Linked DNA regions of Arabidopsis thaliana. The protein of the gene in region 2 interacts with the protein of the main gene of each other region in a pairwise test. Each region holds a gene or a part of one and is shown on either strand. Other genes may lie near its edges.

What was found. Proteins that work in one complex are often made in the same cells at the same time.
Region 1: the proteins of AT5G19960 (region 2) and EDA14 interact in a two-hybrid assay, tested with the Arabidopsis thaliana proteins (one large-scale study listed by BioGRID).
Region 3: the proteins of AT5G19960 (region 2) and AT3G06980 interact in a two-hybrid assay, tested with the Arabidopsis thaliana proteins (one large-scale study listed by BioGRID).

The regions. Positions count from the first base shown.
Region 1 is NC_003074.8:22,311,753-22,316,393, forward strand, and holds EDA14 (embryo sac development arrest 14), read right to left. Parts: upstream 2,676-4,641; 5' UTR 2,476-2,675; intron 2,270-2,475; 5' UTR 2,251-2,269; coding exon 2,195-2,250; intron 2,110-2,194; coding exon 2,019-2,109; intron 1,833-2,018; coding exon 1,741-1,832; intron 1,620-1,740; coding exon 1,526-1,619; intron 1,433-1,525; coding exon 1,353-1,432; intron 1,163-1,352; coding exon 1,082-1,162; intron 999-1,081; coding exon 899-998; intron 818-898; coding exon 725-817; 3' UTR 506-724; downstream 1-505. Other genes in the region: AT3G60370 (FKBP-like peptidyl-prolyl cis-trans isomerase family protein), read right to left, coding at 3,248-3,370, 3,630-3,706, 3,821-3,929, 4,059-4,168, 4,282-4,466, 4,550-4,625.
Region 2 is NC_003076.8:6,742,142-6,746,901, reverse strand, and holds AT5G19960 (RNA-binding (RRM/RBD/RNP motifs) family protein), read right to left. Parts: upstream 3,025-4,760; 5' UTR 2,874-3,024; coding exon 2,763-2,873; intron 2,522-2,762; coding exon 2,423-2,521; intron 2,386-2,422; exon of another isoform or gene 2,331-2,385; coding exon 1,918-2,330; intron 1,571-1,917; coding exon 1,510-1,570; intron 1,440-1,509; coding exon 1,386-1,439; intron 1,288-1,385; coding exon 1,219-1,287; intron 1,144-1,218; coding exon 1,078-1,143; intron 997-1,077; coding exon 928-996; intron 841-927; coding exon 769-840; 3' UTR 521-768; downstream 1-520. Other genes in the region: AT5G19950 (tudor domain protein (DUF1767)), read left to right, coding at 3,200-3,481, 3,650-3,817, 4,019-4,232, 4,730-4,760.
Region 3 is NC_003074.8:2,199,472-2,205,676, forward strand, and holds AT3G06980 (DEA(D/H)-box RNA helicase family protein), read left to right. Parts: upstream 1-1,960; 5' UTR 1,961-2,059; coding exon 2,060-2,321; intron 2,322-2,453; coding exon 2,454-3,394; intron 3,395-3,497; coding exon 3,498-3,692; intron 3,693-3,801; coding exon 3,802-3,989; intron 3,990-4,105; coding exon 4,106-4,319; intron 4,320-4,452; coding exon 4,453-4,584; intron 4,585-4,671; coding exon 4,672-4,847; intron 4,848-4,953; coding exon 4,954-5,191; 3' UTR 5,192-5,700; downstream 5,701-6,205. Other genes in the region: AT3G06970 (RNA-binding (RRM/RBD/RNP motifs) family protein), read right to left, coding at 182-358, 442-762, 853-922, 1,015-1,096, 1,204-1,336, 1,509-1,679; LCR44 (low-molecular-weight cysteine-rich 44), read left to right, coding at 5,921-5,993, 6,096-6,205. UniProt on the Arabidopsis thaliana protein: Probably involved in resistance to biotic and abiotic stresses.

The DNA.
Region 1 (4,641 bases), on a different chromosome or scaffold from region 2:
CGCATATCATAAACATAGGGGTAACATTTGTGTCTTATGCCTTTAATTAAAATGACTTTATAATGTTTTCTGAAATTATTTAAGACTAATTGTTTTTTAGTAGAAATAGCAAATATCATAAGCCAGTGCATTTGTGTTATATGCCAAAGATGGCTGTTTTTCTTTATAAGTTAGGATTTGATTCCAAATTTAAACTTGTACTAAAACAGCAATTGTACCAAATCATTTAAAGTCCCATTGCTTTTTGTTTTCTTTCTCTCTTTACATAAGAGTAAATAAATAATAAATTAAAAAGGCTGAACCAATATTTTTTGAGTCTTTTAAGTAACAAAATCTAAAACTTAAACAAAAACCAAAATTTAAAAGCTGAGTAAGATTTGCGTATTTTTGGTAAAAGCCAATCAGAAAGAAAAGGGCCCATTATTTGCTATTTACAAACAGTCTTTTTGTGTATACCGAACTTTATCTTAGTGGTAAAATTTTGAAGTCTTCAATCTTCTATTTTGGATTCATGTGTTTATATTTCGTCAATCACATTAGTAAAACTTTTCCAGATACGCAACAAAGAGCTTAAAGTAAACAGATATTGTCCCATCCAAAATTGTATGTAAAGTTCTGCAGGTTCTGGAGATCAAAAAAACTATAATAAAACTGCCTGCTATATAAACTTTAATAGAGATCAGAAAAATGATGTCAAGCTACACAACCATGAAAGCTTTTCTCTTCAGCGTTTTCTATCGGCGCGCCATTTGTATACCGCTTTACCATTTGGATTGAGCAGCTCGTCATCACGCAGCTTCCGTTTGCGACCCTTTTTCTGTCCATTAAAAGAGTTTAATCAGAGATGGTCTAGTTGCATACCAAGAAACAGTAATGTGTTCGGGGGACTGATGATAACCTGTAACTCCTTCTGCATTGACATATCCGTGTATAACTTCTCCAAATCTTTAGCCCTGCTCTTCCGCCCCTCGAGGTCTCTATAGGACCTATCCATTTTCCTGTTTTAAGAAAATAGAATACAATGACTATTGATTGTCCGTTTGATACCTTTGAAAACATCTAATTCATTTCAGATACATACTTTTTAATATCTTTCGGAATCTCTACTGTAGAGATATCACTTTTGCTTCTACCTTGTACCTCCAGTTCTCTAGCCTCCTCTCTGATAAAGGAACAACAGAGTTAAAAAAGAAGATTATAAGAAAACACAAACAATGTGGTACCGGTAATGTCTTTTAAATGTTAAGGTAAGGAGGATCAAATTTTGCAGTGTCCATATGACACATTCAAAATGAATGAGAAAATCACGAAAGCTACACCAAGTAAAGAAAGGACTAAAAGTTGGGATTAACCTGTCTTCTGCATAGTAAACATGTCTACGGCTTGACTGATCCCCAGTACATTGCAGCGATGCAGTCAGCTTGTCAATTTTCTACAAAAGATAAGAAGGAACAAAGAGAAAAACTGGATAAATATGATCGTAAGCAGAAAGCTCTTGGGGTGTGTATGAGGAAAGATAACTTACGTTTTTCTCACTCTGCCATTTTTGGAACACATATCCAATATCTTGAGTCTTCATAATCATAAGCTCTTCCGCAGAGTATTTATTTACCTCATCTCTGAAAACAATAACTTTGTCAAAATTTACAAACCAAGAAGAAAACGAGAAACCATGAGAATAGCAAAAGAGATAATAGTGAAAAGCAAAAAGAAGAAAACGAAGAGTTTCGATATGCTTACTTTGGTCTATGACGTCCATCAACTGTTTTACTATTAATCATCTTAAAGTTGAATTCATCTGGATTCTTGAATGCAGCCTTCTGCCTAAGTATCTGCAGTAAAGTAAAACGGTGTAAGAGAAACTGAACTCCCAACGATTTAGTTTCTTAGCTATCTCACAGATATCATCAATCAATCCCGTAAACTAACAAATGTCTACTTGAAAGACTTTATTAACATAATCTCGACAGTATAATCATAGGAGAGATGGAATTGAAAACAGAGAGTGTAATAGTTACCTTTAAAGTTTCCTGCTTTTTGTGATAAGCATTAGCTCGGATAATATAATCCTTATGCTTCTCGAGGATGCCAAACCTCTTCCTCGCTTCCCTGATGATACGTTTAAAAATCCAAACTTTAAGAAGAGAAACGAAGAAAAGAACAAAAAGGACACCTGAGAGCAATAATAGCTTACGGTTGAGATCGCTCCTTATGAGCAGGCCGTGGAATAGCATTACGCAGCGACGACATGTTGGATTTGCTCTTGACGCTGCAATTTCAGTCACAAAACTGTTTAGAATTAAGAGAGCTTAAAGATGATCTTAAGCTACTCGAGCTCATCAACTTAACGAATTGAAACTGAAACCCTAATCTGAAGTATGAATCTAATCCAACAATGCAACATTCTCAAGTCTAAACCTAACTATGCATTCGAACAGACGAAACGAAAGAAAAAAAGAAGCCAAAGATTCTCACGTGAAATACAGGGGAACCCTAGAAATTAGACGACGCCGAGAAGAAAGGTGAAAAGTAGAAGTCGCCGGGAACACAACAAATTTCACCGATGACCTGAAACTTGGTTTCTGGAAAGGAGTAGAGAAGTCGGCGAGAAGAAGAGTTTAGGGTTTTTTGGGGATAAAGAAAACTCAAACCGAACCTTCTAGCTGAGACTAAGGGTTTAGTGGATACGTCGCAATTACTCATTTACCCTTTTTATCGTTTTAGTTGCTTTACTTGCAAATTATAGTTTCCACACATAAAATGTCTTAACGTCTTTAGATGAAAATTTCGTAATTAACTTTCCAAATGTGATGAGCATTGCACATCTACCGTTCCAAATTTCAATGTATCTTTGTACAATTTATTATTTGTTTGGGGTGTTTCATAAAGAGTGCCAAAATTTGGGGTAGAAATTATAAAACTAACGAAACAATGCATTGCTTTAACTTGACAAACGCACAGATACAGAGAGACAGAAGATATCAAAAAGCTCCAAACGCTTAAAACGTGATCAACAAAGCAACAAAAGTAAACTACGATTATGAAAAAGGTCGAGACTTTACATGATCTTTATCTGTCTCTCTATGTAATTGTGCATCTCTACATGAAACCCACAAGATAAATGCCTAAGCAAAGAATAATTGTTCTTTTTGTTTCTTTGTAGTTCTCATCTGCCGTGCAGATTTAGAGTATTGAAGATTGAAGAATGCAGGTTCATTGAAGCTTAGTGATGACCATCATTTGGAAGTTAACTGCATGTGACATCTGAGTAGAAACCTATTATAGTCCTCCTCTCACAATTCTGGATACTGAGCAACTCCACGTCGAAAACTTCAAATTGCTTCGAGCTGAAGAAGGTCGAAGGTCCCACCTGGTTAGAGCCCAATGAACTTTGTTTTGTCAAAAATATGATCGAACCAAAGTGAAGACAGTTTTTACACAGTACAAGTCTAATCTACATTGGTTTAGATATGTCCCTAAACGAGCATGCTCAAGCTAGTAATTCCATTTGAAACATTGTTGATAGAGGGATGGTATATTCAACGGAATGGCTCAGCAAAAGTTTACCACTAGTCAGGTTTACAGTTCAGACAAGTGTATACTTGTAAGGAACAAGTAAGAACACTAACCGGAGGTCCCAATTCTGGAGGGATTATAATCCTTCTTCGCCCACCGGGCTTCATGTCACGAATTCCCATTTCAAATCCTGCATCATCATTATCCATATAGTATTAAAAATCTTCAATATGTGTTTCCTGTCAAAGAAGATTCTTCATTAACATCCTACTACTAAAGAGCCAAGTTAATGTCTTCTACTTGCCTGGAACAAGTGCATTGGTTCCCATGCGGATTCTAGCAGGAGAACCTTGTATGTAAGTACTATCTATTCGCCTTCCAGACTCATTGTAGCCAATGTAGTGAAAAGTCACCTGTCAAAATAACCATAAAACTCAATGATATCTTCAATTCTATATATCCAAGTAAAGAGCATACCAATTCCATAAATGATCTAACTTCAGATCCTAAGTTTAACTAATCTAACATAGAGGAAGTAGTACCTGCTGACCATCTTTTGGGAAATCACCTTGACCAACATTGAAATCCCGATATATGAGGCCAGAATCAGCCTTGATGTAATTATCAGAAGCTAATACCTTAACCTCAAAACCTGCACTATATCAGCAAAAACATAAACACAAACAAAAGGACAATAAGTTCTCATATTCTTCTTCCACTCAAGAATGAATAATACTCAAAGAAACAGTGAATAAAAGCTTAAACCTTCTCTAACAAAGTTAGGAAACTCGTCAGGAGCATTGTTCTCTCTCTGTATCCTCTTGTTCTGTTCTAGTAACCGTCTCTCATCATAAGGACTCTTTGATTTAGTCTTCGCAGATGAAGACAACGCTGGTAACAACAAACACGGCGAAGCAACTAAAACATAAACAAGACTTCTCCGACTCAAGCTGCAATTAAAAGACCAAGCTTTATCTCCAGAATCAAACCAAAAAAAGGAAAAAAAATTATCTCTCAAGATTGCAAATTTTACCATTGGTCTTTTGGTTCTTCACTCAATGAACAACATACCGAGCGATTGCTCCGAGATAATGACAGTTTTGTTTCACCTATAAGATTTTATGG
Region 2 (4,760 bases):
ACTAGAGCCATGCGACAAGAAGAACACATTTGCTTATGCTATTTACTGCTACTGGTTTGCTATAAGATGTACGAAACATGCCTTGAAGAATATATATGAATAATGGATAATGCCTTAATATTACTATAATGAAATTTATATGAGAAGACAAACATATAGAGTATCCTAAATGGGGTTGTTCTTAAGATCGTCACGTATAATGATGATTTGAGTGTTGGTTGGCTAACTTGGCTTTACAAGCAACGATAGGTCAATGGATGATGTTCACATCTTAATCAAATAAAAAACATTCGGCTGACGAGTAATGGACGGTGGAGATGATGGTTGTGTCAACCTTAATAATTTAACTGTCTATTCTTTTCTCTCTTTTTATAACATTTTCACTGTAGCCAAGTATCTTTATATTAGTAAAGAACAAAGCAAACATTACAAAAAGAAATAGTTAATTTGTCAACTTCATCTACTAAAATATTTTAACTATAGCCAAGTACTATCTAGGACTTCTTCTCTAACAAAGCTTTGAGACTTTACTTCCACACTTTGTATGGTGATTGTTTGGTTTCAGTTGCAAGTTGAAAACATAATTATTTAGTTCATGTTCGTATGATAATAATACATCCCGAATGAAATGAATACATACTTGCCAAAACAAGTAAATATGTACCAAATTAGTGTAGCTCGACTAGAAAAAAACTCGGAAAGTCACAAAGAGAAGACATATCAAAGCTACACTTTAGACAAAACAGATCATACATGCGGGTGACCGTGTTACGGATACCCGTGTCCCAATCCTTCATCAGCACCTGCCACGCCTTCTCTAGCTGCTGAATTAACAAGCAACTGCGAGAAAAGAATAGACACTTGTTTCGATTAGGCCTAATCTTTATGCAATGACAATCACTAGAATAAGAAAATTTAGAAACTAACCTGGAGTTCTTGTTCACAGTCTTTCAGGTTGTCCGTGCACTCTCTAACCCTTGAATATGATTTATGTAGCTACCACAAACATAGACCAAATGTCAACAAACATTACCTAACAAAACCGACTTTTAGAACAGGAATCGAACCTATGCTTACCTTTGCCAATTCTTTTCGGCGTTGTGAAACCAGTTTCTTTTCATTGATCAACAAATCTTCTAATCTCTGTCTTAACCATTTCAAATGAGAACAAATCTGTAGTCAAACATTTTGGGGTTGTAAGATATAGAAGACACATACCTTAGATTTCTTCTGTAGCTCTGAGCACACTACTTCTTTTACTTCCAGTCTCTCTTCCATCACCATCACCTTAAAAATGAAAGTAGCCCATAAATTCATTGGATCACTCGTGATTATGTAAAATAAATCTACCAACAGCCTATATGCACAGATAAACTACCTCATACCTCATCTCGAAGCGCCTCACGCATCTTAATCAGCGCTTCCAGATCTTCTTTCACCTGTAATAGAAGTTGCAAGTTATAAAATGAATTTATGCAAACACTGCATGGCTAAGAAAATCATCTTTACCTGATGATCTCCACTTGAATTAGAGAAGTGATCTCTGCCACGTCCACCATCAAGAATGGTACTGTCAATCCAACAAGAACACACAAAGATTTAGACATGTTAACAAAACCAAAGCAAGCCAAAACATTCCTCAAACGGTAACATGCACAAAGCCAACAAGAGCAAGAAACTTCCTCAAATCCATTACACTAAAATCGATGATAATTTATCAAACTTAACCACAACAGGTGTGGATGATTTGGTTTAGCGGCGTGACTAAGACTAGCATCCCAGTCTTTGACTCATTCAAACTAGCAGACCAATTTTACAAGAACAACGAATGTCACAATTCAAAGAAACAGGAGGAACACTAAAAGTTTGAAATCCAATGTGAAGTCTACAACTGCATTGTTTTCAACAAAAGTTTACCTATCTTCTCTCTTTGTTTCTTGGCTCCTTCCTTCGTGAGCACTGGTCCCATTTATTCCCCTACCATTATCCACATAAGACCTATCCCCACGCCAATCTCCTTCATCACCATCGAAAACTCTTTCCTTATAACCATTTCTATCTACCATATCATGATCATTCCTCCTCTCAAAATCATGTGAATGCTCATAAGCTCTTTCCTTCTCTATGTAGCGATGATCTTTTCTCCTATCCTGAGACCTATCCCGTTCTCGAGACCTATCACTATACCGATCCCTCTCATAATTACCATCACTTCTCCTATCAGGACTTCTATCCCAACCACCGTGTGGTTGTAACCGCCCCGGACCTGGATTCATTCTTCCACCTCTTGTTGTCACATCATTCACACGCACTGCACGCCCACCAATACTCTGATTACGAGCTCAATACCGTCAACAATATAAACACACCACGTACATGATAATATAAACAAAAGAACAAAACTTTAGCAGTAGAACCATACTTTTCCATCCATATCTTCGATAGCATCATCAGCCGATCGACGGTTCGAAAATGTAACAAAGCCATAGCATTTCCCTCTTACACTCCGGTCATTGACAATCTGAATTCTCAAATAGTACACATATATGTCAATATACACTCTGACCAGCTCACATGTAAGATATATCAACTAGCAATTGGATGTTATCTAAATCACTTGGTCAGTCTTTCTACATAGATATCTACTAAAGCTTATCATCTATAAGATCATACAATAAGATTGGAACTTCAAAATCACGAAACGAATTTGAATCATCCTAATTAAGAAACTTAAATCAGGATATTGAAAAGAGAAAATTAACCTTAACGGTGAGGACGGAGCCGTAAATGGAGAAGACGCGACGGACAGCCTCCTCGGTGATGTCGTAAGGGAGGCCGCCGACGTAGACGGAGTTACCATCGTCCATCGTCATAACTCTTTATCGACTTTGGTCGGAATTCAACAAGGAAAGCAAAGTACTTTAGAAGTCGTACTGTCAGAAATCTTCGTGTTACATATGGGCCATTAGGCCCACTAAAACGAAACCGGAAAATACCTTTTTTATAGGACTTTTTCGAATTACTTTTCTAGTTTTTCTGTTAAAAATGTTCTTCTTTATTGATCAAAACGATTTTATGCAAAAAGTATCATTAGTGAATAGTAATTAGTTTAACTCGATATTGACCATAACAAAATCAATTCTCCAAATTAAAATCTCGTCTTCCCCAATTGGTTTAGCGCGACAAGAGCATCAACGCAATGGTGGGAACATCAAGCTCCTCCGCCGGCGACCACACCCACACCGTCGTGATAAATGCCCTAACTAGTCGGGGCTGGTGCTTCAGAGACGTCGAATACTTGAAATCCCTGGTCACTGAAATCTCTTCCTTGATCGGCGGCGGCAATAAAACAGGCGCCATCGTGGAGTCAGTGGAGGCGGAGCTGCTTAACATGGATATTAAGTTAATCGGAGGTAAATCCCTCCCGGACCCGACCGAGTTACGCAGGTGTTCTCATCTTCAAGGCCCCAAAGTTCTCCAGGTACATTGCTTCAATCAGCTAAAGTCAGTAACAATTGGCATTAGGTCTTCGCTAATTCAATGAGTCACTCTCACTGATATACTTAGATTTAAACTAGTTTCAGAATGCTCAATTGTTGCAGTTGATTCAAGCTGTTGAGTGTTAATTTGTTTTCTTTTGTGAGCATAGATAAGTTATGTTAGGGATGTTACAAGAAGTAGCGCAGAGGAATTTGTGGGAAGTTCCACTGGTAAACGAGTGCTAAAATTCGCTCTGACTGACGGGAAGACCGAAATATCCGCGCTTGAGTACTCTCATATACCAACGATTAACAATGATGTCACTCCTGGTACTAAGGTAGTTCCATTTCCATATCAATCTAATTCAAATTCTCCTTTACTATGTTTCTGAAAGTCTCATGCAAATATAATAGTTTGGATTAAGATCTAAATCAATAGAAAGCTAGTGCACATATGTGTTTGTCATGCATCAGAGGGTGTCATATGCAAATCATAAATCATTTTGTATTGTTGATATTTTGTACTGTCTCGTTGGCAGGTACGTCTAGAAAATAAGGCTGTGATACGTGATGGTCTAGTATGTTTGACTCCAAAAGAGGTGACTGTCTTGGGCGGTTATGTGCAATCACTCACTGAAGAATGGCAGATGAAGAAAAAATACGCTAGTTTGGCTCGATCTCAGGAAAGCAAAGCTGGTGATGGCCCTCCTCCATTTGAGGAGTTGAAGATTCGAACAGGTTCCCATCACCGCGGTAAGCAGGATTTTCTTATTCTCATCATTTTCATTCAGTTTTCTTCTAGTAATTTGTTGCATATTTAGTTCACTTTGAAACGGTTGGCCAATCTTTGCTACCAAATAAAATATCTACCATTTTCTATTTCATGTTGATAGTGTACATAAATATGCATTGACTGCAGCAAGGACTTATTCCATCCAAATGCACTTTAGCATAAACATATTAGTAATTTGACCCGAGCTCCAAAATCCCAATATATCCGTTTATGTAACCTATGACGACTCATGTAGAGGTCTGATCTATGTTTTCCCTTGGCTTTGTGTCCAACATTGGCGCTGTTGGGTCTCCATTGTTTCAATACTTAAACTTGAGTGAATGCATTTTCATTGTGGTAAAATTTATGATCTATTGAATTGTTCTTCCTTTGTGTGGGCTTACATAAAGTATTGTGATGGAAGTTTGGCCAATGCATCAAAAATTTAACTTGTCAGCATATGTTTGTTGGTTGACAGATTACAACAAGACGACTTCTAGAAACAATGT
Region 3 (6,205 bases), on a different chromosome or scaffold from region 2:
TATATAACCTCTCCAGACTCCATAATGCTATTAATTTGGCACTAACTATGGTAAAAGTTGGAAATATAAAGTTTTAAAAGTAGTTTCGTGCTAACAGAAAAAATAAAGGTTTGATTGCAATATAAGTGTGGTTTGTTTCGTGTCTCTCCTCACCAGTGTTTACATGATCAACTTCATTTTCTTATGGTGTATCTTCATCTACTTCTTCAAAGACCCTCTTGTCTTGGTGTGTGACCTCGATTCCACAATCAAACTCTTTTGTTACATCTTCATCTTGTTTTGTGCCATGTTTTTGTTCACACATGATCTTTACTTCCTGATTCTCCACAACTTTCTCGATGCCACTGATCTTGTTTTGCTAGATTGTTAAGAACACACAAGTTTAAAGAATAACTCTCTTTATTAGCTTTAGAAAATCAACTTAAAACTAAAACAACTGACCTCTTCATCGACATCTTGCTTGATACTATCTTCTTGGTCATTGATCTTTTCTTCTTGATCCCTTGCATCTTGCTTGATGTCACCGTCTTGTCCAATGTTCTTTCCTTTTACATTCTTTGCCTTTTGTTGATCAACATCACTATCTGATTTTGTAACCGCCTCTTCATTGTCGTGATGTGCAACATCCGCGATGAGTTCTTGATCAGTTTCGCTAATGCTTTCAGTTTGAACCGATGATCTTGGAGGCGTAGAAATAATGACAGGTCGTCTGTTTGTCTGATGCCAAGCAAGGTGGGTCATAAAATCACTGCGGTTATGGATCTGCACAAATACCATATCCAATTAAATTTAAAAGAGTTAACTACAACATATTAGGAAAATCACAAAAGAATATGGACCATAATTACCAACCATTTGTGTGGGGTAATAATAACATGGGTTGTTGTTATACATGTAAATATATTGTCCCCAAACGTGATTCCTATATATTATGAAAATAAATATATAAGCAAAGAAATTAGATGAAAACAATATTCAAACTTTAGTTTAAAAACAAAATTGAATAAATATTACCAGGTGTGCGGAGGACAATATGGAATTACGTGTTGAGGAGCTTGCTGATATTGATGCGGCGGTATAACATAATTGAATGATCCTACAAATTTAAAGTTATGAAGAAGAAAAAGTTGTTTGAGAAAGTTTTGTTACACAAAATAAAATCATAAAACCAAGATTTAGAAAGAGAAATAAGGATATATAAACCGTTTAGGTTAGGGTGATTCATGTTTTGTTTTGCACCAGCACTAGCCAAATTGCAATTGGTTGTTCTTCCATCAATGATGGGTTTAGAATTTTGAAGAGCTCTAACTGTAGAGACATAGTCTCTAAAAGTAATCTGAAAATTCAATACAAATCAATCGTCTTCATTAAACCGGTATTAAATATGGAATCAAACCATACAGAGTACAAACAAAACGTGTTTCTAGGTCAGAGGAAATCTTCATATTTTTAAATATACACAAAGGTTTACTAATGAAGTTGAATTAAGGAAAAGAAAGGATACTTACAAAACCATAGCCTTTTGATCTGCCAGGATAAGTTTCAGAAACAACATTAGCATCAACCACTTGTCCGAATTGTTCAAAGTATCTTCTCAAATCATCTGCAGTTGTTCTCCATGTTAAATTCCCCACAAAAATCTTCGTAACCCTAGTATCATGATTATTAGTTTGAGACATCATAACCAATAAATAATCTCTTAAAAACCAATTTAGAGAAGAAACAGAAAGTTGCAGGGTTTAAGGGTTTGGAACTAATATATATATATATATATATATAATGAGATAAGAGTTGTTAAAAAATATATATCTATATATATCTATATATAAGGAGATAAGGAAATTAGTTTCCCAATAGAAAAAGAAATTAGGATATTATTAGATGGAATGCAATTTTATTTATTTATTATTTGTTTGTTTTTTAATCTTTTAAATTTTATTTATTTTTTTTTTTTGGGTCATCTCCTCTCTTATCTCTATGATGACTATACCGTTTATTTTCTTTTCCCACTCTGCTTAGGAAGAGAAGAGAGAAGAGAGAAGAGAAGATACTTGAGGAGATGTTGGCGAGAGCTCCACCGCCTTATTTTAATTTCCCGGCGAGGAATAATACTATCTGTAATCGGAATGAGATTGTGCGGTTGTTTCGTAACGGCGGAGGAGTGGTAGCTAGAGGAGCTGGTTTCACTCGGCGACCACTGGAAACTTCGAGCTCTTACGACGATTCCACCGATGACGGATTCGTTATCATCAGTGCGGCAGATAAGGAGAATGAGTTCGCTCCTCCGCCTTCTTCCGATTTACTCTCTTCGATTCCGTCAGGTAATTTTGGTTAGTTGCTAGCTTTTGTCTCCCTCCTCGAATTGTAGTACCTGTAGTGGATTTTGTAAAATTAGGTATTAGGAACTGTGTTCGTTATTATTATTGGTTTTAATGATTTATTTGGTGTTGTAGAATCTGCGAGAAGAAATGGTTCGCGTTCGAGAGGTCTGACTGCGAGTTTTGGAAGGTTAAAGGCCCAGAAAGTGAAAGCTCTTGTTGGGAAGGTAACGCAGAAGAAGCAGCATATGAGTCACAATGAGGAAGAAGACGAGGATGACGCCTCTGATGAGAATTATTCTGCGGATGAAGGGTTTGGTTCATCATCAATTCTGGATTTGATGAGGAAGAAGCTGGCTATGAAGGCTATTCCTAGATCAGGAAAATCTGCAGAGAGGAACGAGGTAAAAAGAGCTAGCAAAGTGCGGGAATCTAGAGAGTCAAGAAGAGATTTAGATAGATTGGAAGGAGATGATGAAGATGTTGATGAGGTTTCAAATCCTGACAGGTTTACTGATAATCAGAGAGCAGGGTCGCGGAGTTCATATTCAAAAGGTGGTTATGCTGCTAACTCCAGGGGTAAGGGTGATAGGCTTTCGGTTGCAAGAGATTTAGATTCATTTGAGGGACATGGTAGAGCTATTGATGAGGTTTCAAACCCTCGAAAGTTTAATGATAACGAGAGAGCAGAATCAAGGAGTTCATATTCAAGAGACTCTTCTGCTAACTCCAGGGGTAGAGAAGATAGGCGTTTTGTTGCCAAAGAGTTAGATACATTTCAGGGACGTGATAAAGCTTATGATGAGGTTTATAATCCTCGAAGGTTCACTGATAATGAGAGAGGACTCAGAGGAGGATCACATTCAAAAGGCTCTGATACTAACTCTCGGGGTTGGGGTGATAGGCGTTCTGTTGTATATACAAGAGATATGGATGATTGGAGAGAGAGGAATAAAACCAAGGATACTAGGGAGACTGGCTTTTTTAGCCGGAAAACTTTTGCAGAAATTGGATGTAGTGAAGATATGATGAAGGCCTTAAAGGAACAGAATTTTGATCGCCCGGCACATATTCAGGTTCAGACTTTATTTTCACACTTGATAAATCATCTAGGTGCATGTGTATGTATACAAATCTTCTTACTGTTATCGTGCTACCATTCTTGTTTGTTTGACGCAGGCTATGGCTTTTTCACCAGTTATTGATGGAAAGAGTTGTATCATAGCTGACCAAAGTGGATCAGGCAAGACACTGGCATATCTTGTCCCTGTTATTCAGCGTCTCAGGGAAGAAGAGCTTCAAGGACACAGCAAATCGTCTCCTGGGTGTCCTCGTGTCATTGTTCTGGTACCAACTGCAGAGTTGGCTTCTCAGGTTCATTTCTTTTTATATGTGAATGATCTTCCTAGGTTGATTCATTGGTTATTGATGTGAATGTATTTAGCTGAAGACAATTGTTTGGTACATATGAAATACTTGGCAGGTTCTTGCTAACTGTAGATCAATATCAAAGTCTGGGGTCCCGTTCCGTTCGATGGTAGTGACGGGTGGCTTCAGACAACGAACCCAGCTAGAAAATTTAGAGCAAGGTGTTGACGTTTTGATTGCAACACCAGGGCGTTTCACGTACCTAATGAACGAAGGAATTTTGGGGTTGTCAAATTTAAGATGGTACTTTAAATCTTTCAACAAAGCAAACTTTCCCCATTGATTTGACGAGATGAAAGACTTTCACCAACTTTTGTGTGAAAATTGATTGGGTACAATCTTGGTTACGTGTTTTGCAGTGCCATCTTGGATGAGGTGGATATACTCTTTGGCGACGATGAGTTTGAGGCAGCCCTGCAAAATTTGATAAACTCTTCTCCTGTTACTGCACAGTATCTATTTGTTACAGCAACCTTGCCACTTGAAATATACAACAAACTTGTTGAAGTTTTCCCTGATTGTGAAGTTGTAATGGGACCTCGAGTGCACCGTGTTAGTAATGCTCTCGAAGAGGTTGGTATTAACATAAGTGATTGGAAATATGTAATGGGATCAACAACAGTAGCAGAATTTTTGTTTTGCTAACTTGGTTGCTGAATAATCTTCTTTGACTCGTCCCTGACCAATGTTGAGTTGCACTGTGCAGTTTCTTGTTGACTGTAGTGGAGATGATAATGCAGAGAAAACTCCTGAGACTGCATTTCAGAACAAGAAAACTGCTCTCCTTCAGATAATGGAGGAAAACCCTGTTTCCAAAACTATTATCTTCTGCAATAAGGTACCATGGTCGCCAACCTACTGCTTTTCGCTACTACTTGAAACCTTTTTGGACATCTCAGTCTCATATCCACCCTTTTATATGCAGATTGAGACATGTAGGAAAGTTGAGAACATATTTAAGCGGGTTGATAGAAAGGAAAGACAGTTGCACGTCCTACCTTTTCATGCTGCACTCTCACAAGAGTCAAGGCTTACAAACATGCAAGAATTCACATCATCTCAGCCCGAAGAAAATTCACTGTTTCTGGTTTGCACTGATAGGTACCTCAATTTGGTTACTGTTATCGTTTTTTATGATGCTATATTGCCTGAACATTGAAGATGTTAATTTTTTGTTTCTTCCTTTTTCGTTCCGAAACAATTGCAGAGCCTCCCGTGGGATAGATTTCTCTGGTGTTGATCATGTGGTGCTCTTTGACTTCCCACGTGACCCCAGTGAATACGTGAGACGTGTAGGAAGAACAGCAAGAGGGGCTAGGGGAAAAGGAAAGGCTTTCATCTTTGTGGTGGGGAAGCAAGTAGGGTTGGCACGGAGGATAATTGAGCGAAATGAGAAAGGTCACCCAGTTCATGATGTCCCAAACGCTTACGAGTTCACAACCTAAGTAACTCTTCATCTTGACCTTCTTTTTATTACTGCAATCTGTGTGTTGAAAGTTTCACTCTGTTGTTAGTTAAAAGAAATACGTAGAGAAGCCAAGTCCAAATTTTGACCATTAGTCTGTTGTAATGTTGTTAATGACACTTAACCTCCAAGCTCATGGAGTCTTGCACTGAATTGATGCCCCAAATCAAGATCATAACCAATTAGGATATAAAGTTATCTAAAGGATATGGAAGATTTGGACATAAGCTTATCTTCTTCCTATCATGCGTACTGTAGAGGAGAAGCAGCTGGTTGCAAGCAAACACAGTCTGGGAATTTATTACTTGTCTCATTTTGTTAAAAAGATTCACATGGCGCCAATTTGCCAGTAGGTTGTGTATACGTACTTGTCGCATTGAGAAATAGACAAATGATCAAAGATTGGGTGGGAACTGGTGATGTATGTGAAAGGGAAATAAATCGTCATGATTTTGATTTGCAATAAAGATTTTGAAATGGCAGTTTATCAATCAAAATTAATACAATTCAGATTTTGAAGTTGCACTATCTGTAATCTGTATATAAATAGAAAATATCTTTGGATTGGCAAAAATACTTAAATGTCCAAATCAATTAAATTAATTCACAACAGATTTTGTTTGTGTGACAGAAAAATGAAAAATCCCCTATAAAAAGAGCTCATAAGAACATAAATTAAAGCAAAACGAATAGATTAGCTACAACGAAAATGAATTGCAAGATTGAATTCATGAGCTTCCTCGTGATGACTTCAATAGTCATCCTATTTCTCTTTGTTTCAGGTTAGTCTCTTCGTGTCTTAATAGCAAACTATGGGAAAATATTAATAATGTGTTACTCTATCTCAAGTCTTTTTTTTTTTTTTTGTATTTGGTGAAAAGCAGGGAAAGTTGAAGCTGAACCCCAATGCATTGGATCATGTGAAATGCTTGCTGACTGTAACACGGCTTGTATCAGGATGGGATACTTATTTGGCCAATGCGTTGGCTGGAAA